4 linked regions of the Yarrowia lipolytica genome follow. The protein of the gene in region 3 purifies or fractionates together with the protein of the main gene of each other region. This does not show direct contact. Links are inferred from orthologs where the notes say so. Each region holds a gene or a part of one and is shown on either strand. Other genes may lie near its edges. The genes, in order: YALI1_A06128g, YALI1_C29810g, YALI1_F24173g and YALI1_F39001g.

The links.
Region 1: the proteins of YALI1_F24173g (region 3) and YALI1_A06128g purify together in Saccharomyces cerevisiae (affinity purification with mass spectrometry, with the first as the bait; 3 studies listed by BioGRID). This does not show direct contact. The link is inferred for Yarrowia lipolytica from reciprocal best matches to the Saccharomyces cerevisiae genes SPB4 and RSA4.
Region 2: the proteins of YALI1_F24173g (region 3) and YALI1_C29810g purify together in Saccharomyces cerevisiae (affinity purification with mass spectrometry, with the first as the bait; 4 studies listed by BioGRID). This does not show direct contact. The link is inferred for Yarrowia lipolytica from reciprocal best matches to the Saccharomyces cerevisiae genes SPB4 and RPL3.
Region 4: the proteins of YALI1_F24173g (region 3) and YALI1_F39001g purify together in Saccharomyces cerevisiae (affinity purification with mass spectrometry, with the first as the bait; 3 studies listed by BioGRID). This does not show direct contact. The link is inferred for Yarrowia lipolytica from reciprocal best matches to the Saccharomyces cerevisiae genes SPB4 and MRT4.

What each region holds. Positions count from the first base shown.
Region 1 is NC_090770.1:609,151-616,748, forward strand, and holds YALI1_A06128g (uncharacterized protein), read left to right. Parts: upstream 1-3,742; coding exon 3,743-5,287; downstream 5,288-7,598. Other genes in the region: YALI1_A06099g (uncharacterized protein), read right to left, coding at 1-849; YALI1_A06102g (uncharacterized protein), read right to left, coding at 928-1,090, 1,135-1,256; YALI1_A06104g (uncharacterized protein), read left to right, coding at 1,323-1,403, 1,458-1,613; YALI1_A06116g (uncharacterized protein), read left to right, coding at 2,450-2,920; YALI1_A06149g (uncharacterized protein), read left to right, coding at 5,807-6,370; YALI1_A06169g (uncharacterized protein), read right to left, coding at 6,712-7,598. UniProt on the Saccharomyces cerevisiae protein: Involved in ribosome biogenesis. Required for processing and efficient intra-nuclear transport of pre-60S ribosomal subunits.
Region 2 is NC_090772.1:2,977,354-2,984,909, forward strand, and holds YALI1_C29810g (60S ribosomal protein uL3), read left to right. Parts: upstream 1-3,717; coding exon 3,718-4,881; downstream 4,882-7,556. Other genes in the region: YALI1_C29837g (uncharacterized protein), read left to right, coding at 6,387-6,857. UniProt on the Saccharomyces cerevisiae protein: Component of the ribosome, a large ribonucleoprotein complex responsible for the synthesis of proteins in the cell.
Region 3 is NC_090775.1:2,415,582-2,423,644, reverse strand, and holds YALI1_F24173g (uncharacterized protein), read right to left. Parts: upstream 6,334-8,063; coding exon 4,453-6,333; downstream 1-4,452. Other genes in the region: YALI1_F24228g (uncharacterized protein), read right to left, coding at 40-825; YALI1_F24197g (uncharacterized protein), read left to right, coding at 3,718-3,789, 3,870-4,103; YALI1_F24171g (uncharacterized protein), read left to right, coding at 6,475-7,806; YALI1_F24151g (uncharacterized protein), read right to left, coding at 7,906-8,063. UniProt on the Saccharomyces cerevisiae protein: ATP-binding RNA helicase involved in the biogenesis of 60S ribosomal subunits. Binds 90S pre-ribosomal particles and dissociates from pre-60S ribosomal particles after processing of 27SB pre-rRNA.
Region 4 is NC_090775.1:3,896,737-3,903,678, reverse strand, and holds YALI1_F39001g (mRNA turnover protein MRT4), read right to left. Parts: upstream 3,579-6,942; coding exon 2,877-3,578; downstream 1-2,876. Other genes in the region: YALI1_F39041g (uncharacterized protein), read left to right, coding at 1-788; YALI1_F39022g (uncharacterized protein), read left to right, coding at 1,392-1,775; YALI1_F39009g (uncharacterized protein), read right to left, coding at 2,237-2,746; YALI1_F38998g (uncharacterized protein), read left to right, coding at 3,785-4,171; YALI1_F38986g (uncharacterized protein), read right to left, coding at 4,362-5,015; YALI1_F38954g (uncharacterized protein), read right to left, coding at 5,797-6,942. UniProt on the Saccharomyces cerevisiae protein: Component of the ribosome assembly machinery. Nuclear paralog of the ribosomal protein P0, it binds pre-60S subunits at an early stage of assembly in the nucleolus, and is replaced by P0 in cytoplasmic pre-60S subunits and mature 80S ribosomes.

The sequences.
Region 1 (7,598 bases), on a different chromosome or scaffold from region 3:
CTTCCATCCCTTGGGCGGCTTCTTGGTCTTCTCCTCGTGCTCTCTAGCAGCGTAGACAACTCCCCCAATCACGTCAGACATGGTTCCAGACCCGTCCGAACGAAGCACCTTGACAGCCACAATCTCGGCCTGCTTGGCAATGCCATACTTGGTTCCTCCAATTGTGCCTGCACAATGGGTTCCGTGACCGTTTGCGTCTTCGTCAACGTCTCCGGAGGGAACAGTGGTTCCCCATTTGGCCCGACCATCAAAGTCCTGGTGCCTGACAAACACCCCAGTGTCAATAACGTAGGCAGTGACTCCCTTGCCGGCGGTATCGTCATAAACGTACTTGTTGAAGGTACCCAGATTGAGCCGGTCTCTGTGGGACACTCTAGCTAGTCCCCAGGGAGCGTCCAGTTCTTCCTTGTACTCGTACGCATGCACAATCGAGTCCCTCTCTACGATAGACACTAGTGGACTTGCTCTGATGAGATCAACCACGGTCTGCGAAAACACTCCGGCGTATGCTTTGAACGAGTTGATGCTGAATGTTTGTGTGACTCCGGCGAGCTCCATATCGCAGCTTCCAAGCATTTTCTTCAGCCAGTTTAGATGATTTTCAAACTCCTCCTCGTTCACGTCTTTCAGAGTAATAATGTAGGCATTGGGCACGTGATCTCGGTCGTTTTCGAACAGAGGAGCGAGAGAAGGCGGAGAATGCTCATACTTGGCCGAGTGCTCGTTTCCAGGTCGGTTTGCTTGCAAATCGTTCACTAGTAGCTGGTCAAACTGCACTGCCTCTGAGTTGGCCGGGACTGCCGCCAGAGCCGATGAAATGAGGGTCGTCACTAACAGGGAGAGTTTCATGGCAGGTTGATGAAGGAGAGTGTGCTTTTCCTGGGCGCTTCGGCCTGTATAAAGAGTGTACACGGGGCGTGCAACAAGTCATGATTGCTCTTCGGAAACGGAAAGTGTATTCCCAAACGGGAATTTTGGATATCCTACAACAGGGCGAAAAAAGGAGGAAAAGTGCATGGAAACACGAAAAATCAGATCCAGTCGGCGGTGAGAATTGATTGCACCTGAAAGATTTCCTGTGGCCCCAAAACTGGTCGTATTCAGCCTTGCGCGGACCAACATGGATAATGCTACTCATGCATATCAAAAGGCGGATGCAGATCAGTGTAGAGAAACGTGGGCCTTTGGGGACTTGACCAGGTTGCAGGTATATTTACGCCGTTCTTGAGTCCGGGCGAGCAGTCGGGATAGTTCATTTTTGCGGTTTATTGACCCCTGGAACGTGTCCAAATCTCGTATATCTGTCCGACCCCAAAACGCGCATGTCCCAAAACAGACACGGCTTCCAAATTGGGACTAATGAACTTTCAAGGCAGTGTTTCACGTTGCGTCATAAATGGTGGGTAAATGATGGGCGGGATGAGAGATGGGATCAGTCATTTTGATCAAGGCGGTAGCAAGACTTGCTCCTGTTTTTTATTGTCATTGGAGTAGCCGTTCTACAAGGTATTCGTGCTTGTAAAAGTACAGTGGTTCCCACGCGTACTATGTTCGGTGTGCTAGTCGAGGTTCACAACGAGAGACTCATGGCTTGGAGAAGGAGCAAATTCTGAGGCACAAGTACTTGTACTCGTAAAAGACAACCAGTTTGGGTCACGTGAATAGCAGCTCGAATAGATGCCTTCAGCTCGACATTCCCAGCCCTCTTTGGTCGGCATGATTGAGCTGGCTAAATCCACTGTGTATGGCAAGAGTTGAGAGGTCCAGAATGAAGAGAAAGAAAACGCACAAGTCGACGCACAAGTCGACGCACAAGTCGACGCACAAGTCGACGCACAAGTCGACGCACAAGTCGACGCACAAGTCGACGCACAAGTCGACAGCATTCTGAATTCATTCAATGTTAGAGATTGCACGCTGAATCGTACTGTACTGTACTTGTACAAGTACTAGTAGGCAATTTCGCTTCTCCTTCCTGCTTGTCTCCATCGGTGTGCAGTATGTACTGATAAGAGCTTTCTCAAACAGCTGTTGGAAGCCCGTGAGGCTGACGCGGCTTCTCCTTCTCTTTCAGGAATGTGTGAGCCAGGTCATGTTGAGTCCTTCAAACACGGCAGTTGTCCTCCTATCCCCTGAGATTTTCTGGAGCGGGAAAGCCTTCGGGTCATACAACTGACAGTCTGGCAGCTGTTTGATCATCAGAGCGATCCTAACAACTAAAGTTGTGGTAGTTTAGTACTTGTGTTGTACTTGCACTTGTACTTGCACTTGTACTGGTACTTCGCTAGCATCAATCTGCCCAGAGGCACAGTCTTGTGCTCTACTGTGCTCTGCCCTACTCGTAGTTTTCATGAGACTACAGTATTGCCTATCTCCTCCGTCCATGTGACCGCTCCCTCATTCCAGTATATAAACAAAAGTCTGTCCACCTTCTACTCTACCACACAAAATGAAAGATACCAAGCCCGTGAACAACGAAAATTACGACCCGAACGGCGATGAATCGAACCACAACGATACCCCAACGATTCGTCACCGAAAAACCCCGCTCAAGGAAGACAGCTGGCCCCTCTCAGGATCCGCCCAAGGAAGACAGAAGCCCACTGCTCTCAAGGCTTCCAAACCGCCTTCAAGTACAGACAGAAAGATACCCTCCCCTACCGACGAAGAGATCGCCGAGGCCTGGGCTGCTCATCCGGGCATTCCCCCCGCCGAAGTCAGTATCAAGATCATGCAATACGACGATTCGGAGCCATCTGAAATCTGCGAGGAAGACTTTTCTCTGGATTCACAGTGGCTGTCTATGGAGATTGATCGAATCATGAGAGAGCAGACCGATGATGACATTCCCACTTGTAGCTTTCAGAAAAACACAAACTTGGGTGATGCCTATTCTGCCGATACCAGTCTGTTGTTCTGACTCCAGTCGTGGCCTTGAGATGGACATGTCCAACATCAGCAAAGAGCTTGCCAGACTCAAGACAGAGGAGAACAGGGACAAGGAGAAAAAGTCATTCAGCAGTGAGGGCTCTTTGGAACTGAGTCTCTTGACATCCTTGTGTACTTCCACCCCATACAAGACTAGACCCTAGAGGACAGTCAGGAATTGGGCATGAGCATGAGGAATGAGATGGCTATATAATGGAGATAATAAGGATACTTAGCTTGTTGAAGCATGTAGAACGTGACAAATATTGGAGCAGTGGTAATAGGAATGGAGAGCCATCTTTCACGATATGGTCTAGAGAGGTAGAGCGTCTCCAGAACTCCTATAACCACTTGGAATGAAGAAATTGAATGGTAAAAAGAACGAAAACGCCATAACTGGACATTTGAAGACCTCCCCAAACGGTTTGACACAAAATCTCCCGGACTAAGGCCTTTTTGAGAGTCACAGAAACCCCCACCATCATCAACGTGATATCAAACAAGGTTTGTGCAGTTACCATGGAAACGGCAATTAATATGTGGAGGGAGTGTAGGAGGGAGGTGATCTCAATTCCAGGATATGGACTCAATTTGATGAGGGAAAAACGGAAATACAATAATTTAAGTTGGAAAAACCATGATATCCACTCATTTTTCGCCTTATTACAATTAAATGGCGATTTACAGACGTCCCCACAACCACTCCTCCATCTCCAACAACTCGTCTGCATGAAACCTTAACCGTAAACAATTTTTTGACAAGATTATTTTGCATAGGCCAGAAGCCTTACTACACCACACAACACCCACAAAAATGGCCACCTTGCTGCCTCCTCCCTCGAAAAAACAAAAGCGACTCGCACAGGAGCCCAAGGATCTAGATCTGATCCCCGAGGACCTGCCCAATGTGCTGGTTCGATTCCAGGCGTCGGACACTGGCGAAAACACTGGTGGATCGGTGCGAGTTCCTGGAGCCGCCACCGAAAAGCAGCTGGAGATGCTTCTGAACCAGCTCCAGGAGACCAACGATGACCCCACGCCTTACACTTTCTCTGTGATCAAGGGAGAAGGCGACGAACAGACGCTGATTGACATTACCGACAACATTTGGGCATCGATTCTCAAACCCGGACACAAGAGTACAGAAGACCAGCTGACGATTGTGTACACCCCACGTGCTGTTTTCAAAGTCAAGAACATCACCCGATCGACCGCCGCCATTCCTGGTCACGGCAGCACTATTCTGACCACCCAGTTTGCACCCCACACTTCGTCTCGAATGGTTTCGGGCTCAGGCGACTTCACTGCACGAATCTGGGACTGCGACACTCAGACCCCCATGCACACTCTCAAGGGCCACTCTAACTGGGTTTTGTGCGTGGCCTGGTCTCCCGATGGTAAGATGATCGCTACTGGATCCATGGATAACACCATTTGCATCTGGGACGCTGTAAAGGGCACCCAGATTGGAAAGCCCCTCAAGGGACACACCAAGTGGATCACAGGCATGTCGTGGGAGCCTCTGCACAAGGTGAAGGAGGGTCACGTGCCCCGACTGGCCTCGTCATCAAAGGATGGCACTGTACGAATCTGGGACATTGGAGCCGGCACCTACCTGCGAACCATGGCCGGTCATAGAAGCGCCGTCACCTGCGTCAAGTGGGGAGGAATCGGTTTCCTCTATTCTGCTTCTCATGACAAGACCGTGAAGGTGTGGGATCCCGAATCTGGCCGTCTCCAGCACAACCTGACGGCCCATGGTCACTGGGTCAACCACATTGCGCTGTCGACCGACTACGCCCTTCGAACCGGAGGCTTTGACCACGACACCACACGAAAAGACTTCAAGGCCAGCGACACTGAGCTGCGAACCAAGGCGCTCGAGAAGTTCAACAAACTGGCCAACACCTCTGGACGCATCTCCGAGCGAATGGTGACCGCCTCCGACGACTTCACCATGTTCCTGTGGGAGCCCGAAAAGAGCACAAAGCCTCTTTGCCGAATGACCGGCCATCAGAAGGCCGTTAACCACGTCACATTTTCTCCTGACGGCCGATATCTGGCTTCTGCCTCGTTCGATAACTCCATCAAGCTGTGGGACGGAAGAGACGGCAAGTTTGTCACCACGTTTAGAGGACATGTGGCCTCCGTGTACCAGTGCGCCTGGTCGTCCGACTGCAGACTCATGGTCTCGTGCTCTAAGGACACCACTCTCAAGGTGTGGGATGTGCGAACTAAGAAGTTGTTGTCGGATCTGCCTGGCCACGCTGACGAGGTGTTTGCTGTCGACTGGTCCGTCGACGGAAACAAGGTGGCTTCTGGTGGAAAGGACAAGATGATTAGATTGTGGTCTCATTGATCTATATTTATATGCATTGTAATAGACGGTAGAATGGTTTCGTACACATCCATGTGAAGTGGACATGGGTGGTAGAGAGCGTGATGAAGAGCAGTATCGAGGGCTGTAAGGGAAGAGTAGACGACCTGAAGATACTGCAAAGGTGTCTCAGGAAGATATGGATCCAGGCTAGCTTGAACACCAGCAGTAGGAATGGAAGAATGGAAGAATGGAAGAATGGGAGAATGGGAGAATGACATTATCATACTGAATGGGCCTGCTTCCTAGTTGAGTAGGAATAATCAAACAGAAAAAAGACTTTAGCTGGATGGTCTCAATGATACTGCGTACAGTAGTTTTTCTCTCTTCAGCCTGGTAGGTCATCCATATCCATCATCCCCCTTTTCTCTTGTTTGGTCGCACGCCCAAATCGAACTCACGACCGCCAAATCACCATCCCCCAAAGTCTAAATGGTGATGTGAAATTTTCAGTTTTGAGGGAGAGATCAGGACACAACCTCCAACACAACCCGCTGAAACATGTTCCGAACGACATCAGCCCGAATCGAGGCCGCGTGTCGGCCGCTGGCACAGACACAGATGCGATTTAAGTCGCAACTGCACCGGCTCAAGCACCCCCAGCACATTGCCCAGCTGGTCCAGAAGCGAAAGATCACCGCTCTTGATCCCTTCTCCAAGCAGGTTCTGGAGCGAAACAAGGATGCAGTTGCCAATGCGTTCCCCGACGCCGCTTCTTTCGACGTGGCTGCTCTCGCGCCCCAGCGTCTGGCTCTAAAGTCCGAGGGAGGAGCCGCCGTGGCTCCCAAGACCAACAAGTCCGGCTACGGCTTTGGTACCGACGGATGGTACCACGTTGGCCGAACCGCTCTCAACCACATTGCCGTCCACTCGTGGAAGAACTCCACCAAGGTCAAGACGGAGATCTCCAAGATCACCGGAAGCGCCGTGCTTCTGAAACGAGACCTGTGCAAGGCTCTCGACCTGCACAAGTCGGACGTGGTTATCGCACCCAGCGGTCGAAAGATCTACGTTCGAGGCAACATGGTCCCCGAGGTTCGAACCTGGCTCGAGGCCAAGTTCTAGCATGTACATATTATCTAAAATTGTTTTATTGGACTGAGGAGAGAGATGAAGGTGTAGCGTGAGAAACGGTTGGACAAGCACAAGTGGAAGTGTCAGTGTTGTTATCATCAGTGTGCACACAACTATACTTATCACGAGGGTGTACAGTAGTTGGGGTTTCATCCATCTGAGCAATAGATTGAGAGGGATATTCACCTGTCAGCTACTGTACATACTGTACAAGTACAAGTTGACAGACGACTGACCATAATCAGTATCCAAGGTTGAGTATGTGAACGAAACGCCGTTATGTACTTGTACTTGCTGATACCATGATAGTCATTTTATGATTATTTACAGAGTTACCTGTTCAAAAACCAATTAGGAATGTTTTCAAATAGATTCTTAGCAGTGACACCTTGCCTTGCAAGCCGATCTGCCTGCTTGTTTCCTTCACTAGAACCATGGGCCTCTACCTTTTTCAAACCAATGCAATTGGTGCTTTCAGCCTTCAATGTCAGGATACGCTTGATCACGTCCTGGTTAGCCACTGGTTCCCCGCCCCGGTTCCGCCAGCCGTTTCGTTCCCACGCAATGTGCCACTTGGTGAGACAGTCGATGGCATAGCTTGAGTCGGTGTAAATCTCGTAAAGTCGGCCATCTGAGAGCTTAGATGCGCAAATGCAATACGCGTGAAGAATTGCCGTTAGCTCAGCTCTCTGGTTGGTCTGAGGCGACCCATAAACACGCCCGGAGAGGTTTTCCTTATGGTTCTCTCCGAGATAGAGTCCAAACCCAGCAACAGCGTCTTTCTGTCCGTTCCTAGAGCACGCGCCGTCAGTGAAAATCTGATTGATAATGTCTCCATCTGAGTTGGAATAGTGTAGACCTCGTTGTTCTGGAGGAAAGACGAGAGCATAGTCAGTTTCTTCTTCCACATACCCAATAGCTTCTTCGAGGCTCAGAAATGACTCAATGGGTAGAAATTTCTGAGCAGCACTTCTCATGGCCTCTCGTTCCTGGTCGAAGATGAGGTTTTCGCAAACAAAGAACATCTGGCCGCCGTTTTTCTGGGAATTAGCAGCCTGGATCTTCTTCTGGGCCACCCGTAAGTCCAGCTCTGCCTCTTGCAACTGGTTCTGGGCCGCTTCCAAGTCTCTCTGGGCCGCTTCCAAGTCTCTCTGGGTCACTTCCAAGTTCTTCAAGGCGGCTTCCAAGGCGTCAGTTTTCACAGCGACATTGATTTTGA
Region 2 (7,556 bases), on a different chromosome or scaffold from region 3:
TACTTTTCGACTTATACCGACTCTCGTTTCTCGTCACTCCTCCACCTCAAAGTTAAACAATCAGCATTGTCTTGCTAACTCAATGGCTCTTTGGCTCCATGTCTGTGACTTCCTCAATCGGTCGACGGCGCAACTGTCCCAAATAGGCGGTTGAAATATGGACTGGGCAAAGGTCGGAAAAAGGTGGTTGTAGTTGTCCAAAGTGTCCATGATTTTCCCCCCTATTTACCGGCTTTTTTTGGACACTACCATCTTCCTCCCCAGTAGGCCGCCATTGTCTTATATAAGGTTAGATTGCTAAGCACCTTGCCAAGGAATGAGGTTTTTACAGACTCGATATAACCGACCTTGTGGGACCCCAATTCCTGTCGGACTTTTTGCAATCGATAGCCCGTTGTCAGAAGAGTCGATTTCCTGCCTCTCAGACCAATCCGCGTGCTACAACACCTCCTAGTCCCTAACCCCGAAAAAGCCTCACTGACGTCACCTGCATGACTGGACCTAAGCACGCAGCCCAGAAGCGCACCATTAGGTGCGGTCACGTGCCTCTATCACCACCGAAAAAACAATGGCAGGGCTGATGGACTGATAGCAGAGAGAGGCAGGACCAATTAGCCGTTTGGTAGCACAAAGAGCTCTTTTTTCCGGCCCTCTGCCCCCGACTGGCCGGCGACACTAAAACACGCAAACATAAAAAGACACTATACAGTAGCACCAACCATCGTATTTGCAGCCGGCTAGCTTCTGGCACGGGAAAATGTCTCATCAACTGTATTGGATACTAACCACGGATTGAGTGAAGTCTAAGTAAAGTGCGAGGCGGAATCCAACGTCCGCTTTGGGCTCGACAGAGTCGACAGAAGCAGTTACCCGAACCCCATGGTTAATATCCTGTGCAGAAATACGACAACTTTGCCGAGAGGGTATCCGAGACTGTTTGAGGGAAATGAATGGGATAAACTGGAGCGGTTTTACAACCGCAGGCGTCTGTTTCTAACGTGCCACCCATTTCTCTGTTTTTGTGCAAGTCTCCACCACCATCCAGCTACTCCACAAGGTTGGCTTGCTACTAGCAAAGATTGAGAATAGGAATGCTAATCCCCGAGGTATATCCCGAAGAAGCGGGTCAGTTGACCGAGCAACGAGTGGTCGAGTGAGTTTTCCAACTGATGAAAAACATGCACAAGCTATAGATGTCATATTGTAGTGATGTCATGATACTGGTCACCACTGCTCGTCCCAGCACCGACAGAGAAAAGTGTACGCCACTAGTCTACACCGCACCATGATGGGTACACGATTAGTTGGCAGCCTCATGGGTCACATGTCCCTCGGATCATCAACGTTCCTTCTCCCGAAATATCAATGACATTGCTCAATCGGGAAACGCTGTACAGGTACATCCAAGTACGTTAAGCATATTACAAGTACCGTTGATTTGAATCGTGTGGCTTTAGAGTGATTTACGATGAGGGTGGTTGTCAAGCGCTAGACATTATCAGGGGTTGCTACAGTATGAGCAGGGTAGGTAGAGCTGGTTTGCAACCTGACGTTCACATCTCTTCAGCTCCTATTGTACCGTATGTTTTGAATGTACATGAGTCAAGGGTCTGTATGACCACAACCACGCAACACGGCCAACACAACCACCATCAGATTAATCTCAAGTTACTGTTAGATTAATACTGCATAAACCGTCTGTTAGCTCAGGAACACTTCTCAGTCTATGATGTCACCATGTTGCGAAGAGTCAGTCGAGGTTACAGATCTAGGTTTTTTTATTTTTTCTTTCGACAGTCAATTGAACTCGGATAAATCAAATAAAATACAGGGACGCTACAAGTAGTACTTGTACGGAGCTAGAACTTGCGAAAGATCCTATTTGTACTTGTACAATTTCCCACACGATTCACCTGTCTTTGCTCTGTCTCTATGACAGCTAAATCAGGGTGATATGTGAGAATACTGGTACATACTGTACCTGGGCTACAATTATCTTACATCAACATCAATATTACTTGTACACATTCACCAATCCGTAAAATCAACGATTATGACTTTATAAGACCGTCTCTCTCCTTCCTGACACCCGCTTGAGTCTGTCCTTAGTCAAGACAAACATTAGTTGGACTTCTGTTAAGATAAATGACAACTAGCTGTTCAACATCAGTCCTTCAGTGATGGTGGAGAGATGGGAAGTTCGCCAAGTTGTAGTACTTGATGGTCATTTCAGTACGGAATACAAAAAAACTCCATAAAATCTGACATTTCCTCTGATATCCCAATTTTTGAAAATTTTCTTCCACTCGAAATACTTAGTGTTTAGTTGAAGGAAGCCGGCCCAGAGAGTCCGATCAGGATGTGAATAATGACGCCAACAACTTGAATTGCAGAAACGAGCTCATAGTCCTATTTCACAAGACTCTCGTCACTTCTCCTACACGATTTTTGTGGAAGATTGGACCATGATATCAGAACGACATCTGCAACTTACAGCTAGAGGATTCTGTTAAAGATCAGTGAGGACACACTGAAGTCGGAGACGGCAGGCAGTTTGTCAACACTTGGTGTTAGGATACACCACGGAGATAATGCTATGTACTGTACTTGTACTTGTACACAGAGATATATGGAGCAAGTTTTCTGGTACGAGTCGGTAGATCGACATGTTCATCAATATCAACGACGCTATAGTTCTATAGTACAATATGTACTTTTGACCCTTCCTACTCAGACTCAGAACCCTAGGATACTTGCAGTATTGTAGCTGACAGATGTTCTGTAGGGGCAATGATCTGTATATGCAGCTATTCCTGATTTGCAAGAGATATCCTCCTCCCTGTACTTGTATATTGTTCTTCACTTTTGTCATGTACTGGTTGTGAGCTAAGTTGCATTGCATGAAAAAATTGTACATGAAAAATACGGAAAAACAGGGGAAAAAATCAGAACATGGGCAACTAAGGTAAGGAGAGGTTTAGAAGAGCCCTTCTCTGCAATTTCAGACAATGTAAATGCATTGTATTTCTGTCATAATTCTAGGGATTGTTTTTAGCCACAATTCTCATAATTATATCTCTGTATCTCTGAGTATTTTTTCCCGTATTTTCCCTAATAATTGCTGCAAAATCGATATTAAATTGCCCCCATTCCAGAGCCAAAAGTTTATAGTGCCATACAACTGAGGGTGCTATCAAGAAGACTTAAACGCCAGCTGAATGATGTTTATCAAGCTGCAAGTCCTTTGGAACAGCAACCGTTCTGTTATTTTTATCCGGTTTTTCAAAATATATGCTGTTTCGGGCCCGTTTTCATTCTTGCTGATTTTCCATGAATTTTTCCTTATTAATATTGCGAAAATCTGTCGTAAATCGAACTCCCAACTGGACTACATAAATAATAACCTTAAATTCAACCCAAATTGGAGATCTATTCACACCCTCACTGAAACTTGCTGAATATTATCCAAAATTGCTAGTTATTTTTACAGTAGCTTCATCCTGTGGTCATAAAATATTCCTCTAACTTTCACCGTCTCAGCATAACTATTGCTCCTGTTTGAGTCACCCAACTAGTCAGTCCCCATTTTAGCTTTGATCACATGACACATCCCAATCGGTAAAAACAGTCACACGCTGGTCTCGAACTCTAAATTTTGCAGTAGATTTCCACCGGTCAAAAACTCTGCACACATCTTTCGTTCCTCACTATCTCAAAATGTCCCACCGAAAGTACGAACAGCCCCGACACGGTCACCTGGGTTTCCTCCCCCGAAAGCGATGCACCAAGTCTCGAGGAAAGGCCAAGTCTTTCCCCAAGGATGACAAGTCCAAGCCTGTTGCTCTGACCGCCTTCCTTGGTTACAAGGCCGGTATGACCACCATTGTCCGAGACCTCGACCGACGAGGCTCCAAGATGGACAAGCGAGAGATTGTCGAGGCTGCCACCGTCGTTGACACTCCCCCCATGGTTGTTGTCGGTGTTGTTGGTTACGTTGCCACTCCCCGAGGTCTTCGATCCCTGACCACCGTCTGGGCCGAGCACCTGTCCGAGGAGGTCCGACGACGATTCTACAAGAACTGGTACAAGTCCAAGAAGACTGCCTTCACCAAGTACGCTAAGCAGTACGAGGGTGACGCCGCCCAGGTCCAGAAGGAGCTCGAGCGAATCAAGAAGTACTGCACCGTTGTGCGAGTTCTTGCTCACACCCAGCCCAAGCTGACTCCTCTTAAGCAGAAGAAGGCTCACCTTGCTGAGATCCAGATCAACGGTGGCTCCGTTGCCGACAAGGTCGAGTGGGCCCAGCAGCACTTTGAGAAGACCGTCACCATCGACACTGTTTTCGAGCAGGACGAGATGATTGACGCCATTGCCATCACCAAGGGTAAGGGATACGAGGGTACCACCCACCGATGGGGAACCAAGAAGCTGCCCCGAAAGACCCACCGAGGTCTGCGAAAGGTCGCCTGTATTGGTGCCTGGCACCCTGCCAACGTCCAGTACACCGTGGCTCGATCCGGTCAGGACGGTTACCACCACCGAACCTCCGCCAACCACAAGGTTTACCGAGTTGGCAAGGGCGGTGACGAGTCCAACGGCTCCACCGAGTTCGACCGAACCCCCAAGACCATCACCCCCATGGGTGGTTTCGTCCGATACGGTGAGGTCAACAACGACTTCCTCATCCTCAAGGGTTCCATCCCCGGTGTCAAGAAGCGAGTCATCACTCTGCGAAAGTCCATGTGGCTGCACACCTCTCGACGAGACCTCGAGAAGACCCAGCTCAAGTGGATCGACACTGCCTCCAAGTTCGGAAAGGGCCGATTCCAGACCCCTGCCGAGAAGACTGCTTTCATGGGCACTCTCAAGAAGGACCTTTAAGCGGTTTCTCTTGTTGGAAATTTAAAAAATTAAAATGCACAATAGCAATAACCGAGTGTGTAGAGTACCTGCAACTGAGTGCAAAAGTACTTGTAGTACTTGTAGTCCTAGCGCTGTATACTGTAAGTAGATTGTCGTTTGACTAACTGTAAGATAGTTACTTTCCTTACACTAACTTGATTCGAAGACGCGTAGAGGGAGATCGATCATGACTATGAGCGAGCCCAACTGACAACATTCATATGAAGGGAAACAGTGAAGGCATAAGATGGAGCAACAATGCAGACGAGTATGGTTGCAGATTGCACTCTCGCAAATGCATGATACATGGTTGTACTTCTGTTTCTGGAACGAATTGCTTCCCATCATTGGCCTGGTGTGAGACAGGTGTGCCGACAGATGTGCCGACAGATGTGCCGTCAGATGATTTGAAGTGCTTACTGAGCAAGGTGAGATTGTCGCAGACTCTCCGCAGACAAGGAGACAGTACTAACAGGAACATTACAGGTTCATTCCATTGAAAGAGCTCCTTCTATTAACCGAGAGTGTAGCAGAAGTCTCCGAACGGTCCGAGTCCAGGTCGTGAGATGACATGGTCAAGGGGAAAGGCAGACCCGGACGTTGAGTAGTTGCCGGTTCCAGTCCCAGACCTTCCAGTCAATTGATGATGGTAACATACCTGCCCAGGTTGAGGTTGGAGTTGGTAACAGATGCAGTTCCCTCGTTCAGGATGTACGAAATCTCGATTATCTGACTGAGACTGGTGTACCACATATGGTAACATGGAAATCAAGATAGACCGGGGGTTGTTACAAATACAACAATCAGTATAAGACTTATCAAGGAAGCTCATACCAAGACTCAACTTCCAGACGACCCGATATTTGAACTATAGCAGACCAAGAATCCACTTCGAAGCTGCGGAAGACGACAAGATTTCCAACTGTCCTGGTTTTCTTGATGGAATCGTGACATGTAGGGCTTTTCGCACTGGAATTAATCCCAGACATGGAAAGGATACTCTATAGAAGAGTCTCTACAAGCATTTTGAGAACTCAGCACCAATCTGCAGATGAAAATACCATCTTATTCAGCAACCTTTCGCCATTTTTGCCATTTTTGGGGTCTCCACGTGACATTTTCGTCCCGCCTTATCCGTTCAACACCGCAAACCGTCAGTTGCGGCCATATCCTGGTGAAAATACGGCTTCCCGTCCGATCAGCCATAGTCAAGCACCAGAGAGCCTAGTTAGTATTGTAGTGGGAGACCATACGAGAATCCTGGGTGCTGCAATTTCTTTTCCCTCGAGTTTTCACTTATTTTTTTTTTTCCATTTTTTCTTTTTTTTTCTTTTTTTCTTTTTTTTTTCTTTTTTTCTTTTTTTCCTTTTTTTCCATGTTGCGTCTCCAACCTGTAAGCGGACTACGACTACAAGGCAAACTTTTGAGTCAAAGAGCCGGGAAACTCCATCAACAAGGTGTTTTCTGCTGTAGGAAGGCTTTTCATGCCACTCCCAGATCTTTCATCAGTTCATCATCATGTCTACTTGTACTGTGCATCTGATCATCTACAACAGAGTAGCTTGGTATGGGTACCGAAAGGCTGTAAGAAAGGTGCGTACAGTACTCTAAGAATAGAGGGATTACAGTGGACTACCGATCCTTTTACTTTGACTTGCCCAACTGTGGCTCTTTCTATTACTACTGGTAGTCGTAGCTCACTCGGTTGTCTCACATCGGTTGACTGGTGCTGTCCTGAGGTACATACCATCCTCACAGTAACAGAGAAAGAGCGGCGGAATGAACAGTGGCATTTCGGAAATGTCTGGAATGTTCCGACCGTTCTGTCGACCCCCATGCCTCAGCTTTCGCTCTCATGTGTTCTCCACGTTCCTCGTATAGGACGATCCGGGCCAGCAGCAACCGGATCACACGACATTTCACCCGGCCTCGGCATGTTTGCTTTTGACAGTTGATCGTGTGACAGACATGCAGCAGGGTCAGCACTTGGGACTGGGTTCGAGTGTGTACGATACGGGGGTAAGTACCAGGTACCTTTACAAGTGCCGGTAGTAACATGACCTTACCGAAACAGCGGCAGTCCAGATCCCTCCATGGACACCCGTGACACGTGATTATGAACCCTACGGTCTTGCTGCTGATATAACCAGCTGATTAGTGCTGGCGATCATGATGCAATAGATGTGGTATCAACACCAATAACTCCATTCCTTGCCTCACTTGAGATGTTGTCTTCAACTGCAGTTTCACTGTCAGACTCCACTGTCGATGATGCCACTGGTGTACAAGTAGTTACGTGGTCCAAGACGCATCTCTGGTTACAACATGTCGAACACCTTCGATCTACAAATATACTCTTCACAACTCCCTTACACGACACCTCATTTGTTTTCTGACGTTGTGGGGAAGATGCGTCTGTTCGGGTACTTTTGACTTTGGCTGTTTTCTTGTCCCCGTACCGGATTTTCGGCTACTGGTGTGCTTTGTGTCAGGTGTCACCTGGGCGTCATCCTGGGATTCAGTGTGCCCGTTAAGGTTTGTATTAAGATTCGGTCTCCACATGGACCCGAGCCGTTGCATCCCCCTGCATACCTGCAAGTATGCTGTTCCGGTTTAGCTGGTACAAGGACTGTTGATGGATTACATAATTGGTA
Region 3 (8,063 bases):
AATACATTAATATTACATATTCCTCGTGCGGACTCCAGTCTACTCCTTGCTAGACTTGGAGGAGCGTCTGTTCTTCTTGTCCTTGGACTTCTTGTTCTTCTTGGGAGACTTGATGGGTTCGGGCTCCTCTTCCTCCTCCTCCTCCTCATCTTCCTCCTCCTCCTCTTCCTCCTCAACGGCTTCCTCAACGGCCTCTTCCTCGGCCTCTTCCTCGGCCTCCTCGGCCAGGGCAGCGGCCGCCACGTTGACAGCCTTACTCTCAATGTACTTGTTCTTTCGGCTCTGGTAGTCGATCAGCTTCTTCCGGTACTCAATCTGGTAAGGTTCCTTCTCAGCGTCAGACAGCTTTCCCCAGAGTTCGGCCACCTCGTTGGCCATCTCCGAGTTCTGGAGAGGTGGCTCGCCTCGGGCCAGTCGAGCGGCTCGAATCTCGGCCCGCTTTTTGGTGGAGAAGGCCAGGAAGACGGTCATGGGCTTCTTGGGCATGTTGGGGTCCACCACACGCTTCTTCTTGATACGGCCGGTGGGGGTGAGCTCCACCTCATCTCGGAACCGCTTGCCGTTGGACAATTCCTCGCTGAGAGTGATGTCCACGTTGTCGGGGCTCCACTTTTCGACAAACGCCTTGGTTTCCTTGTTGTCGAGGCCCCGGGTGTGGGCGACACATTCGACCAGTCGCTGCCAGCTCTCAGTGGCCACAAGAGCGGCAACCTTTGCGCTCTCGGTGAGCTCCGAGGTGAGGAATTGCACCGTGGCGGCGTTATCGTGCAGGGTTTTTGTGTTAGTGATGTCGCTGGGCGTGTAGTAGATTTTTGATTTAGCCATGGTGTGGAGTTGACGAAGCAGTGACGCGTAGGTGGAAGAGTTGGGTCAACAACAACAGGGGGGATACAGTTTGACTAGTTGACGGGCTAAAGAATGCTGAAGAATGTGAAGCAAAGTTAGTTGGATGCGTGCTCAAACTAAAGTTTCGGGGGCATGGGGAAGGCTGGAAAGGGAGAGAGGGAGGAGGGGGGGGATTGGGCCAACACTTTCCAGGGCAGGTGATACGGTACATTGAACCAAGAGGGCAGGCGGTATTTCGCGAGTGTGCCCATGTGGTTTTTTTTCGGGCCCCACTGTCTATACAAGACCCTACCGTGGGTCACGCGACAGACCTGTTTATCTGCATCTTTCACGGCCCACCAACCATCAACGCGTCTCCCAACCGGCACCACCCACCAGCAGTAGAACTGTTCAAGCTATACCCTGCTCCACCAAAGCCACTGCGCGTAGGGCTCGTGTTTTGTGGGGCCTGGTAGGATCATGAAGCGACCCCTAAACTAACGGGGTGTGATTAGTGCCTGTAGACAGACGGAGCGGTGGTTTGTTTTGACACATTAGAGTTGCGTCAACAATCTTCAACTAACGGAGCCGGTATGACATGCGCCGTTTGGACCAATGAGAGCCCGGGCCCGTCTCTGTTGCAACCCTGATAAACAAAACAAGACAAGACATGTTAACAAGCCCGCCAAACAAACACGGCACAATGCCGAAATTGCCTCTCCATTAAGTACAAGTAATCTCGCAATAGGGGTCGAAGAGGATTGGGGGGAGGGTTGTGGGAAGGGGGGGTTTTTTGTACGAGCTGGAGCTGGAAAGAGCTACAAGTAGTAGACAAGTATGGCGTGCTCGTGAGACTTTATTAATGGCATACCTGATACGAGTGTCTATATGTCGGTATGAGTACGGCACGTAATTTCGTTTTTCAGCTCTTTAGTGTGGTGCGGAACCGATCCTACTCGTACAATAAGTACAGTATGTACTGTAGCCTTGGTCAGTTGTTTGTCTTCTCTTGTTTGTGCGGACCTCCACTTTGGTCCCAACAGATTCGGTTGTGTGAAGCGAGCCTTCCAATACCGACCATGGAATGATACGATGCAGAACAAAGGGGTCGGAAGTGTCGCGATTGATTGGAGAATGGAGAATGGAGAATGGAGAATGGAGAATGGGGACAACGGTTCGATATCGTGTCACAAGCTGATTTTCGACTCGCCACCAAATCACATTTTCAAGAGATATCCCAGGCCCACCTACAAGTACCTCAATCACCCGATGAGGGCAGATGATAGACTGACTCACAGGGGCGTGCATAATCGACACTCTCCGCGCTTATTATGTTGGAGAGATTTGAGCACTGTCCACGACGTTGCAAGAGGGATATTGACAGTGTAGTGGTTATTTGAGGTGATTGTGAGCATTGGAGGTGACGACATTGTCAAGTACTGTACAGGCTATTGTCTCATCAGGGAACTACAGTACATGTGTGTATGAGTACGAGTACGAGTACATTCTCATCGTGTATAGAATGTCCCTCTCCGGACACACGGCACGTCTGCACTGCACTATGACACAAGTCCGTGGAGTCATGTCGAGACCTGAGACGGTCTAAGAATAGACACTCAGTACGAGCGAGTAACGGGTGTATTTACCAATACATACTGTGCTCGTACTTGCTAACAACAAGTACGTGCGTAGGTTATAGAACTGTCACTTCAGAGTCATACTCATACTCATACTCGTAGCTACGACATCAGCCTGAAGCGCAACTCCACCGATCAAGCACGAGACTGGATAATCAGTGGATAATCAGATGGCTGGCCGAGACAACCATCCAGACCACTACACCTGTAACAGCCGATCTCTCACCAATAAACACACCATGTGCTACAATACTGCCTAACGTGTCATAGCCGCCCAACCCCTCAAACCATGCGTCGGGTTAGCTTCTTAGTTTGGGGTTACGTCACATGTTGGTCCCCCATCATCTCGGTCTCGAGCCAGCCATTTAAGCCCAAGTTTAGAGCTTTTCATGGCGCGTGATGGAGGGCAAATCGGGTGCCAATGACGACGGTTTTGGGCATTTCGGCCGACATATCCATCCACCAGTCCCCTTGATTGCCGCCTGTAATTGCTTGCTACGCCTGCTGCTGCTGCCTGGGTCATGGGACCACTGCCCACTTGTCAAAGCACAACGTGATATGGGACCCAAATTCTATCGTCAATAAGCCTTCAGTTGCGCCAGTTCCCCACAACCTCGTGCATGAGTTGCTGCTCTCCAAAGGTATATAAGGGGTCGTCATCAACCACTTCTCTCTTCCTTCTTCAGAAACTCTTCATCGCATGATGGAGCGATATCTTCTCCCTCCGGCCCCATGCCGGTTGTGATTCATCGGAACATTATCATCATGTGGATACTTCGGCATCATTCGGATCGTCATCATTACGGAATTATTACGGAACCATTACGGATACTACGGAAAACGGAAAAAGAAAACGGAAAAGAAAACGGAAAAAGAAAACGGAAAAATATCACAGTTCAATCACCCCAGCCCCAGAAATACTACGGAAACAAGACGGTAAAGAGCTGCTGAGCAGCCGCTAGTGCAGAAGATTTCGCAATTGACTATACAGCAAAGAGCCATAAAAGCCTGCAGCCCCGTGAGCTACAGAGCCAAGGCGCCACCGACCGACCCCGCCTCGAGCTCGTGTCTCGACGCACCATGAGAGAAGATTGAGCCCGTGCCTCGTCTTCAGAGCCCGTGTCTCGCAATAATTCCAGTATGAGCCCGTGTTCTCATATCGAGCCCGTGTTCTCGACTTTGGATTCCTGTGATGAGCCCGTGTTCTCATATTCGAGCCCGTGATCTCGACTCTTTCCTATGAGCCCGTGTTCTCATGGCGAGCCCGTGTTCTCGCATCGTCCCTAGTGAGCTCGTGTTCTCACTTCGAGCTCGTGTTCTCGAATTTGTCCGCTAGATGAGCTCGTGTTCTCATCGCGAGCCCGTGTTCTCGCCTTCTACAGTATGAGCCCGTGATCTCATATCAAGCTCGTGTTCTTGACTTTGACGAGCTCGTGTCTCGTCTCGAGCCCGTGTTCTCGAAGTATGGAGTGGACCGGACGGAAAGTTGATGGATTAAGTTGGATACGCGCAGTGCAACCTGATCCTTTGGATCATGGTGAAGATGGAACCGCAACCGAGGCCGCCGAAAGAGCCAGAGCAAAAGTTAGTGCCGATGACCCTTGGAGCAAGACCCGTGGAAATCTCACAGAGGGATTATAAGAGCCGTTGCCTGTCGGATTACATAGTATTTTGGAGGACGTAGGCTGGAACGCCGAACCTCCGGGGCTAATACGATTGGACTATTCAGTCCCATCCCCATAATTTTTGACCCGTAGTGTGTTACTGTAATTGTAGATGAATCTGTGAAGTATTCGATACTTTAGAATGGTACAGAAGTGCTGCACATTTGACTATCACGATGTACAAGTGTACTTGCGGAATGTTCTACCCGTTCTGGTGGTGTACTTGTGCTGTAGTTTGATATTATCAAAAGGTTTGCCTCGGTTCTTTCAGGCAGGATATACCCGTACATACGGTACAACGTAGCATAAATAATTGTCTATATACCTTACAGGTCGTCAAAGGTAGGCAGATCGACCTTGCGCTTCTTGCTCTTCTTGACCATGTCCTTCCAGTCGTTAACAACCTCCTTGGACTCCTCCTGCTTGAGATCTTTGGCCTCCTCAAAGTCCCGCTTGATTTTCTCGTTGATACGTGTCTGCTTCTTCTGGTGACGCTCAGACTTCTCCTCCTTCTTCTGAAGCGTGGAGGACCAGGCTCGGTTGGCCTTCTGGACGTCGTTCTTGGTCTTGTGGATCTTGACCTTGTTCTTCATGGCTTCCTTGTGTGCCTCCAGCTCCTTGAGTCGGGCCTCCTCCTTGGCGGGGTTCTTGTACGAGTATGTGTCGAAGTCAATCACCTCGCCCAGCCATGTGTTTTCAGGTCTCTCGTTGTCCTTGGTTCGCAGCTCAGGCATCTTAGGCAGACGCAACAGGCCGTAAGAGGCTGCCAGCCCAGGCAGATCCAGTGACTGGATTCGGAAAATGGACTGGGCAACATGCTTGGAGTAGAACCGGACAAAGGACACAAACGAAAGAAGAGCCTGGTCATGGCGTTGTCTGTCTTCGAGCACCCACTTTCTCAGCTTGGTGTACAGTTCCGTAGCCTCCTGATCCAGTTTCTCTCCTTCCAGCTCCGACCCAGGTCCGGTGTATGGTCGCAGCTTCACCTTTCGGACTCTCATGAGGTCCACGTATTCCTCCTCTCGTCCCTTATGCAAAAGTACAATAGCCTGGCCCTGTCTTCCAGCTCGACCGGCTCGTCCACATCGATGCTGGAAGGTGTCAGCATCAGAAGGAGGATCAAGCTGGACAACAAGATCAACCTCGGGAATATCAAGACCTCTGGCAGCGATATCTGTAGTCATCAAGATGGCTTGCGCTCCAGTCTTTTGGTACTTGTTGAGAATCTTGATTCGAGTAGATGATGGCAGCTTTCCATGAAGACCGTAGATCTCATAGGGTTCTTCCCTGCCCTCGTTGAGATGTGAAAACATTTGCTGGTAGTATGTCACAGCTGCACATGTGGGCAAGTAAACAATGGCCTTTCTGTAGGGGTAGATACTGAGCAAATTGAGAGCGTAGGCCAGCTTCTCGCGAGGCTCCAGAACAACGTAAGAGAGACCCAGCGAAAGCGGGGTCTTCTGTTCCTTCTTACCGCCAACCTTGACGACAATCTTGACGGGATTTCGTAGACCAATTTTGACCAGGTTCTGGATGGCGTCTGTGATTGTAGCAGAGAAAAGTCCTGTTCTTCGCTGTTTGGGGAGAATGTTGATGATGGATGTAATGTCTCGTCCAAAGCCGAGGTCGAGAAGCCGGTCGGCCTCGTCCAGGACCAGAGAGTCAAATGCGGATGTCTTGATTTGGGGAGCACGCAGCAGCTCGAGCAATCGGCCAGGAGTGGCAACAATGATCTGAGGCTTGTCTCTAAGGAAGTTCTTCAGATCCATATGAGATGGAAGATCTCCACCCATGATCAGCTGGCCTCGGATCTTCTTGGGCATGGTGGGGGCGGCCTTTCCCTTCTTCTTCTTCTCCAGGGTGATTTTGTCGCTAGCATCGGCTTCAGGACATCCCATCTCCAGAATGGACTGCAGCACTTCATATGTCTGTCGGGCAAGTTCCCGGGTAGGAGAGACGACCACAGAGTAGACTCGGCCAGAAACAGCCGGTCCTTCCTTCAGCAGATTCAGCATTCGCTGGATCAGAGGAACTAGGAAGGCAATGGTCTTTCCTGAGCCAGTGACTGCCTCGACAATCACGTCCTTGTTTCCTGCAAACATGGGGATGACTGAAGCTTGGACAGGGGTCATATCGGTGAATCCGAACTGCTCCATGGTGTCGATCAGCCATGGCGCAACGGGCAAGTCTTTCCAGTCGGTAGACATTATGTTTTGTGTTGTGTGAGTGTGCTTGGTCTTTTTTTTCTCACCGCCAAATTATTTCCATTAGCCTCGTACTCTGTGCAGCTTACATGCAGGCCGACACTCCCAACTTAGTGATGAAAAATTCCCAGCTCGAATCTTGTCATGGCTCTGATAGCTGCACTAAAACGGCTGATTTCCGCTCCGAAAGCGACACGACAGCTAAAGTTCACGCCACACCAAGTTTCCAGAATGGCCGAGTATCAGAAATGGACTCGAGCGGACCTCATCAATCGCATTTTCGAGCTGGAGGGCAAGGACCCTAGTACCGCCCAGGGAGCCGTGCCAGACCCGCCGGTCAAGGCCTCCAAGGCCAAGCGAAACGAGAGCTACGACATTAGTCGGCACCCCGTTCGAAAAATCGCGATCCGCTTTTCCTATCTCGGCTGGAATTATGGAGGTTTGGCTGTCCAGCATGAAGACACCCCTCTGCCCACTATCGAAGGAACCATTCTGTCTGCCATGCAACGGTGCAGACTGATCCCCGAGTCGGCCAGTCTATTCGATCTCGACTTTAGCAGATGCGGAAGGACAGACCGAGGCGTGTCCGCCTTCTCTCAGGTCATTGCTCTTAAGGTGCGATCCAAGCTGTCTCCCGAGGAGCAGCAGGACGCCGCTAACGACAACAAGGAGCTCAACTACATTCACATTCTAAACCAGCTGCTGCCACCAGATATCCGAATCTACTCTGTGGCTCTCAGACTGCCCGAGGGATTCGACTCCAGATTCTCTTGTGAATACCGGCACTATAGATACTTTTTCCACAAGGGCGATCTGGACATTGATCTAATGAGACAGGCTGCCAAACTGTACCTGGGTGAACACGACTACAGAAACTTCTGCAAGGTGGATGGATCCAAGCAGTTGGCACACCACAACCGAGTCATGTTAGAGGCCGAGATCGAGCAGCTCTCGGACGACATCTACTACTTCAACCTCAAGGGACGAGCCTTCCTGTGGCACCAGGTTCGATGCATGATGGCTATTCTCTTCCTGGTGGGCCAGAAACTCGAGAAACCAAGCGTGATAACCGATCTGCTGAACCCCGAAAAGTATCCTGGACGCCCCGTGTACGACATGGCTCACGATGTTCCTCTGGTTCTTTATGACTGTACATTCAAGGAGCCCATCGAATGGATCACTCCCAACGCCATGCCCCAGGAGCGAATGGAAAACTCCAATTTCAAGCACTGGCACGACGTCATGCTCCAGAGCACCCTCAGTCTAGCTATGATGAAGCACATTGCTGAGCGAACTGGAAGCGAACGGACTTTCCCCCGTGCTGAAGACGGCGACAGCGACAGAGTGGCGGTGGTCAACGGCTCTGGAAGCTTCTCTCGGAAGATCCCCTACGTTCCCATCAGTAAGCGAAAGATGCTTGACACTCCCGATGTGACTAATGAAAAGTGGAGAAAGCGAAAGGAGGCTACACAATAAACCCCATCCATCATCGTCACCATCAACATAATCTAATAATGAAGCATTTTTAAATATATAATTTATACAATAGTGAGATACACGTCCTTCTGGTCCTGTCTAAAAGTAGCCAACAGCATGCATCAGAGGCAGCTTGGGATGCTGCTCCTGCCACGAGTCCATGATACCCATGATTTGTGCGTCGAGGTCTTTGCTGTCAGCTAGACTCCGGGCCAGCTTCAAGATGCCTTGGGCTCCAATCACAGAGTCCTCATGGT
Region 4 (6,942 bases), about 1.5 Mb from region 3:
CTCAGAAGGAGTTTGCCTTCATGAAGGCTCTGCACGACGAGGGCTTCGAGGTGCCCACTCCCATCGACCAGTCGCGACATCAGATTGTCATGTCTCTGATTGACGGTTTCCCCATGCGTCAACTGCAGGAGCACGATGATCCTGCTCGACTCTACCAGACCCTGATGGACTTCATTGTGCGCCTGGCACAGCACGGACTAATCCATTGCGACTTCAACGAGTTCAACATTATGATCAGAGAAAACTTTGATCGAAAGGACCCCAAGTCCGAGATTGTCGTCATTGATTTCCCTCAGTGTGTGTCCATCGACCACGTGGACGCCAAACGGTACTTTGAGCGAGACGTGGAGTGTATCAAGCTCTTTTTCCGAAAGAAGTTGGGCTACGTGTCCAAGACCTGGCCCGATTTCGACCGCGACGTGAAGCGAAAGGGTGAGGCTATCGACAAGCTGGTGGGTGCATCTGGCTTCTCCAAGAAGCAGTCCAAGGACCTGGAGGCCGCTCTGGCCCAGAGTCTGGAGGTGGACGAGAACGACGTCGACGACCAGATCCGAGAGGACGATGAGGAGAACGAGCAGCTTGCAGAGGACGCTGAGATGATCGAGGATGCTGATCAGGAGGAGCACGACATTGAGGAGGAGGAAGACGACGAGGAAGACGAGGAAGAAGAAGAGGAGGAGGAGGAAGAAGAGGAGGAAGAAGAGGAGGATCCCCTCGAGAAGGCCATTGCTGAGCGAGGCATTGAGAACCTCAAGATGGACAAGTTGGGTAACTACATTTTGGATTAATTGCATGTGGTGGGGGTAAATCAAGGAGAGGCGGGAATCGACGCCACTCCTAGGTAATAATATAAACAGTACATTATTGAATAGAAGCAAGTGTTGCAATAAAAAAAATTGGCTGCTATGCCTGGTTCCTGTCTTGTACCGCACTTCTCACAGGAAATGACACCATATATGTATGCTGCGTGATGGGCGTTATTTTATTCCGTGCAGCAAGCCAGCAAAGAGGAGAAAGCTATTTGAGAACTCTGAAACAGACTTGTTGGCAGGATAGAGTCTTGGGGTCTCCTGATAAGGTCTCGAGTCGGTAGTCCTAAAAATGTTCGCTGTGTCAGAGTCTCGTGTCAGCTGGTGCCACCCGCCCCACTTCAGTCCATACAGTTACAGCTCGGTTACACAAGCGAGCTGATTAACTTTGCGATTTTCATTTTCCGAAAGGTACAGCAGGCACATTCCAGCGGGTGTGTGCACCACGCACTATAATCCGTCTAAGTCTAATTTGGATATTCACTCCACCCACCTCACTACACATCACCAAGGAGATTATTAGTCTGCCTTTTTCTAAAGACCGACTTTTTAAAAAACCACCCATCTCAAGCGACCGCAGCCATGATCTACAAAATTCTGGAATCCTTGCCGGCCGAGGCTGTTCAGAACGGCACCGTCAACCCCGAAACCGTGCTGCCTGGCGTGCCCCTTGATATCCAGGACGGCTTCATCCACCTTAGCACCAAGGCTCAGCTGCTGGAGACGCTCAACAAGTACTTCAACAAGCACGACCGCGTTTATCTGCTGGCGATTGACATTCCCGACACTCCCGGCGCCCCATTAACCGAGGGTGCCGTGGGTTGCAAGCCCGGATGTCGACTACAGTGGGACTTTGTGCGATCGCGAAACGAAAAGTTTGCGCACATCTACGGACACCTCACCAATGGAGACATTTCCGAAATCAAGGAGCTGGAACGAGGCCCCGACGGCTGGAGCTTGTGGTAACCCCGCATGCCACGTATAGAAGTATCGTATTTATTGTGCTGCATGAATATATTGTTGAAAAGAGGGCCTGATGGGTGTCGGGCGGAGGACAGCCGTGTGTAACGCGTAGCCGCTCATTTATTGTATCTGCGCCTGTCTTTGTATACCAAGTTACGGACCTCGTAGTCGTGCCCATGTCGTGTAGCGTGAAGTACTGTTAGCGTGTATCAGAACATAGAGCAGTTGGCTTACTCTTTATTTCTGTTCACGCTTATCGCTGTTGGTACCTGTACTTTAAAGCATTACAGTACAATTGCAAGTGTGCTTTATTATATGAATGTATTAAAGATTAGCTACATGCTGTAGTTTTTGAACGACTCTGACATGGGTCTAGCTGTTGCGTCAGGTCGTGTGACAGAGAGAAGGTGTCCAACTGTATATCATCTCCAGTATATATACACCGCTTAGAACCCCTTCACCCCCTAACTCTGCTCCTCCTCGTATTCCTCCTCATCAGACTCGTCGTCAGGAAGAGCAAAGGGATCGGCCTCCTCCTCGTCGGAATCCTGCTGCCATCCACCGACCTTCTTGAACTCGGCGGGCCAGTAGGGCATTTTTCGCCATGTGCGATCGTCCACCACGATCTCGATGATATCACCGGCAATCTTGTCATCGGGAGTCACGTCAACAACAACAAAGCCACCCCGCTTGACCCACACGGTCTGTCTGAACTTGGGTGGCATCTCAACCTGGACCTCTGGGCTCTTGAACCCGTGGCTCTTGTAGAAGTCTTGAGGCAGAGTCACCTCGTATATGTTGCTGCCCTTGGCCTGGGCGACCTTGGCGATGGTCTGGTTCTCCTTCAGCTCATCCAGTGGCGTTCCAACGGCGGCCAACGATTTCTTGCTCATGGTCGAAAGTTTTTGAGGTTGATAATGGACAGCACCGCGCCTTGCATAAAAGGTGTCGAATAAATTTGAGCTAACCCACATGGAAAATGACTACAAATTAGATATGCACAAATTACTGTACAAGGAAATACAGCGTAAAACTACAATATTTTCCTCCCATAGTTATTCTATTGAAACGTGTCTAATGATTGATTAATATGTTCCGAGACATCTAAGCGGAAATGAAGGGCTTAACCTCCTCCTTCTCAGAGTCGTAGTAGGCCACAGTGTGGACCTTGAAGAAAGAGCTGGTGACGCCAAAGTGCTTGAGCAAACGGGTCTGTCGAGAATCCAGAGTCTGGCCAGTCTTGCAGACCTCGTAGGGGGCGAACAGCTCCACCTTTCCGGCCTTGAGCTGAGTGGGCATACCCAGAGATCGGAGAGTGGGCTCCATAGAATGCACAACGGGAACATCGTCCTCAGCGGGGATCTTACCTCCGGTGGTATGGACAACGCCGGCGGGGATTGTGAAAGTAACGGTAGAGACCTGGCCGGCTCGTGCATAGTCCTCCCGAACGAAAGACTCAAAGTAATCCTTGACGACCTGGGGCTCCTCGTCGGTCAGCAGAAGACCAACATCTCCAGACATGTACTCAGACAGTGCGCCGAGTCCAGCCTTGTACTCATCCTCCTCAGACTTGCCGAGAGCCTTGGCCATGATCTTGGTTCGGCCAAAGAATATTCTGCTGCCCTTCCAGTCCGCTCTGAGATCCTTGAAAAAGGTGTTTCGCATGCCCTCTACTGAGAAGACAAAGCAGTACTTGTGTTCGTCGAGGTAGTTGTGGATCTCGTCGACGATCACCTCCTTGTCCTCCCGGGTCTTCTTCTCGACCTTGGTGAGAGCGATGACCTTGTTTCTCTTTGACTTGGGCATTGTGATGTATGCTGTGTGGTTAGAAGATGGATGGGAAGTCCTGCCAAAATATCTGCACTAGCTGCAAATATTTTTTTGGCTTTGCATGAGGGCAGAAAAATTAGCTTTGATACTCCTCTATCGAAACCACATCCAAAATCAAAACACCCAATATGCAGTCTGTGTAAGTGGCCACTCAATTATTGTACCATTCGCCACCCAAAAACATGTCTATTTCGACCCAGGATCTGCTGGAGTTCCATAAGAAACATCTAGGCGAGTTTCAGGGCACAATCAAGTTTGATGAGGCAGGTCAAGACGAGGACACTGAGCCCTCCCTGGGCTTCTATCCTGATGGAGTTGAACGGACTCTGACGGACGAGCAGATCGAGTTTTTCCGTCAATCCGACATTCGAAAGGAGGAATTGCGCATCTACAAGGAGAATCTGGTATTACAGGGAGCAGAGTCACAGGCAGAAGCTCACGCGGAAGCTCAAGCAAAAGCAGAGACAAACATACAAGCACTGGATCCAACCTCACAACAAAGACAGATAGAAGTGGCAAATGATGAGGAGGGTATGAATGAAGGACCAGGCAATTCTACAATGAGTTGATTCATCCAGCATCGAGCCCCCGGAACCAGTTTAGATTGCACCTCATCCATCATCTCCACACACACACACACACACACACACACACACACACAAACGATCCATAGCTAACATTTATTACAAGTATGCAATCATATACGATTATGTTTTTATATACTGAAGGGTATGTGAGTTGTTTCCAGGGAGACCGGATTTAAATGCAGTAGTATCGGTCGCCAAAGTCTCCGAGACCGGGCTGGATCCACTTGTTCTCGTCAAGACCGTCGTCAATGACACCAGTGATGATCTGGACGTTGGGGAACTTCTCAGCGAAAGCAGCAATACCCTCGGGAGATGCAATGAGGTTAAGGAAGAGAATTCGCTCCTGGGGGACGCCTCGGGCAATGAGAACCTCGACGGCCATCATGGCAGAACCTCCAGTGGCAAGCATGGGATCCAGGAGGAAGACGAATCGGCTAGAGATGTCCTCGGGCAGCTTGTCGTAGAATAGAGAGGGCTGGGCGGTCTCCTCGTCTCGCTGAATGAGAATCTTACCGATTCGCACGGACCGGCAGCAGTCTCGAAGGCCCTGCTCCATGGACTCGCCAGCTCGCATAATGGAGACTCCGCAAATCTTTCCCTCAAATGCAAGACCCTTGAACTCAGCGCCGGTTGGCGTCTTAACGAGCTTATCGGTCACGGGCAGCTGGTTGAGACCCTCCTCGACAAGCAGACGGATGATTCGGTCGGAGTAGAAGATGAAGTCCGACCGAGAGGTGTTCTTGTCCCGGATGATGGAGTAGAGACCAAGAAGCTGCCGGGTCTGTGGAAGCACGTTGACGTTGGAGGGAATGGGCGAGGAAGACATTGTGTGTGTGTAGTGACGGAAGGTAGAAACGGAAAGTAGGGTCGCTTTTCTGGAACCAAAATATATATATTAGGGTTCAATTGACACGCATAAAAATTTGACCCATCTCGACCCACTCCTGCATACCTCAAGTCTTATCTCGGCACTGCCGTGGATGTTCCGAAACACTGAAAACACATAAACATACATGCCCGTGCTTGGGTGATTATTGAACGGGTTGGAATAAGGCTTCGAGGAGTCCATTCTAATTCCCCTCTTTGAGAGAGTCGCGTGCAGTTCTCCCACCCTTTAGAGTGTGGTCGTAATTGGCTTATCATACACTATCGCAGCTAATACCAATACTTGACCCATGCCCCCCGCTTGGAGCTGCCAGTAGCGGGTGTTGATTTTAGTGCGAGACTAGAATGAGAAACAGGTGCAGAAAAGGCGGCAGTTACCAACAACCTGAATAGATCGGTTTGCCCCTCACGGCTATTTTTCCCTCCCTTGGACGAGCTCTAATCGTCGATAAGGATAAGCGTTTCGAGGCCGTGTGTTAACATGGCTTGATATGAGTGGAGAGACACAACCGTCTTATGAGCTGATAAGAGTAAATCCTATAGAGCTAAACCCGGTCACGCTTTCTTTCCGAGATACCCATGTTCATGGCAATATGTATATATGTATGCTTGTTTGTATCGGATGTGTATACACTGGAGTCGTCGTCTATTAAATATTTTATTGACACTGGAGAGAGGGAATTATGTCAAGCACAACGCTTATGTAGGTACTCTTATCTAGTCTATGGTTGTTGGGGTTTTCGTCTAGCTGAACCCTCCTCGTCATGAGCAGAGGCAGCCTGCTCAGCGGCCTGCTGCTTGGCCATGTCAGGATGGTCCTCGACATGGTGAGCATGGTCGTGGAAATGCGTCTTTTGACTCTTAGACTTCTTGGACTTGGGCTTAGGCTTGGCCTTGGCCTTGGCCTTGGCCTTGGCCTTCTCGTTATGCTTGGCTTCGCCTTTCTTTGCATTGTCCTTAGCCTTCTTCTGGGCCGTGTCAGCATGGTCTTGATGATGCTTTTCCGAGTCAGCTGCTCCCTCAGCATCCATGTCGTTGGCCACATCCTCGGCTTTATCCTTGTGTTCCCGCTTCATGCTGCCTGAGCCAGAGCCAGAGCCAGAGCCGGAACCCTGCTGGTTGAAGAAGCCAAAGTAATCAATGTAATCAAGGAAGGTTGAGGCCTTCTCTTCACTACCAGTATGATCAAAAGGGTCCTCGTAAGTAACGTTGTTCACATCCAAGTGCTCAGCATTATTGTGGCCATGAAGAACGCCTCTAGAGGTAAGGCCCTCCAGAATATGCTCTCGCTCCTCGTCAGAGAAGGTCTGAATCCATCGATCCACCTCGGCCCGCATGATTCGATGCAGCTTGGTGTGTGCAAGAGCAGGATGATGGAATGTTTGGAGTGCCTCATCCACAACAGTCTGAGGATCAATAGAGGGATCCTCCCAGGCTTCTACCACAAAGGGAACGACGTATTTGACCACCTCTGCAGCCACGAGGCCAGCAGGCTCGTTTAGGTATGCTGCAAAATGGTCCTTAGACAGTCGAGAATGAGTGGGATCGGTGGACTTTGAGTTAATCCATACGTCAATCTGATCATCGTGGTATGACAGCAGAGTGACAGATGCATGTAGAATCTCAGTGACTGCCTCCAAGATGGGATTAATGATTGGGTTGATGATTGAGTTAGTGAATGAGGAAAGAGCGTCGGAAATAGAAGATGCCATCATGCCGAGCGCTGTAGAAGAATCGGAGTCGCCAAAGAAAGACTCCAGGGAAGACATGACGGAGTCCTTGAACTCCAATAGAGGGTACACTGCTCGGATCACTGCGTCGACATCCAGGTTGTCGAGATACGACTCTAACGAGGTGTAGTTGGGATC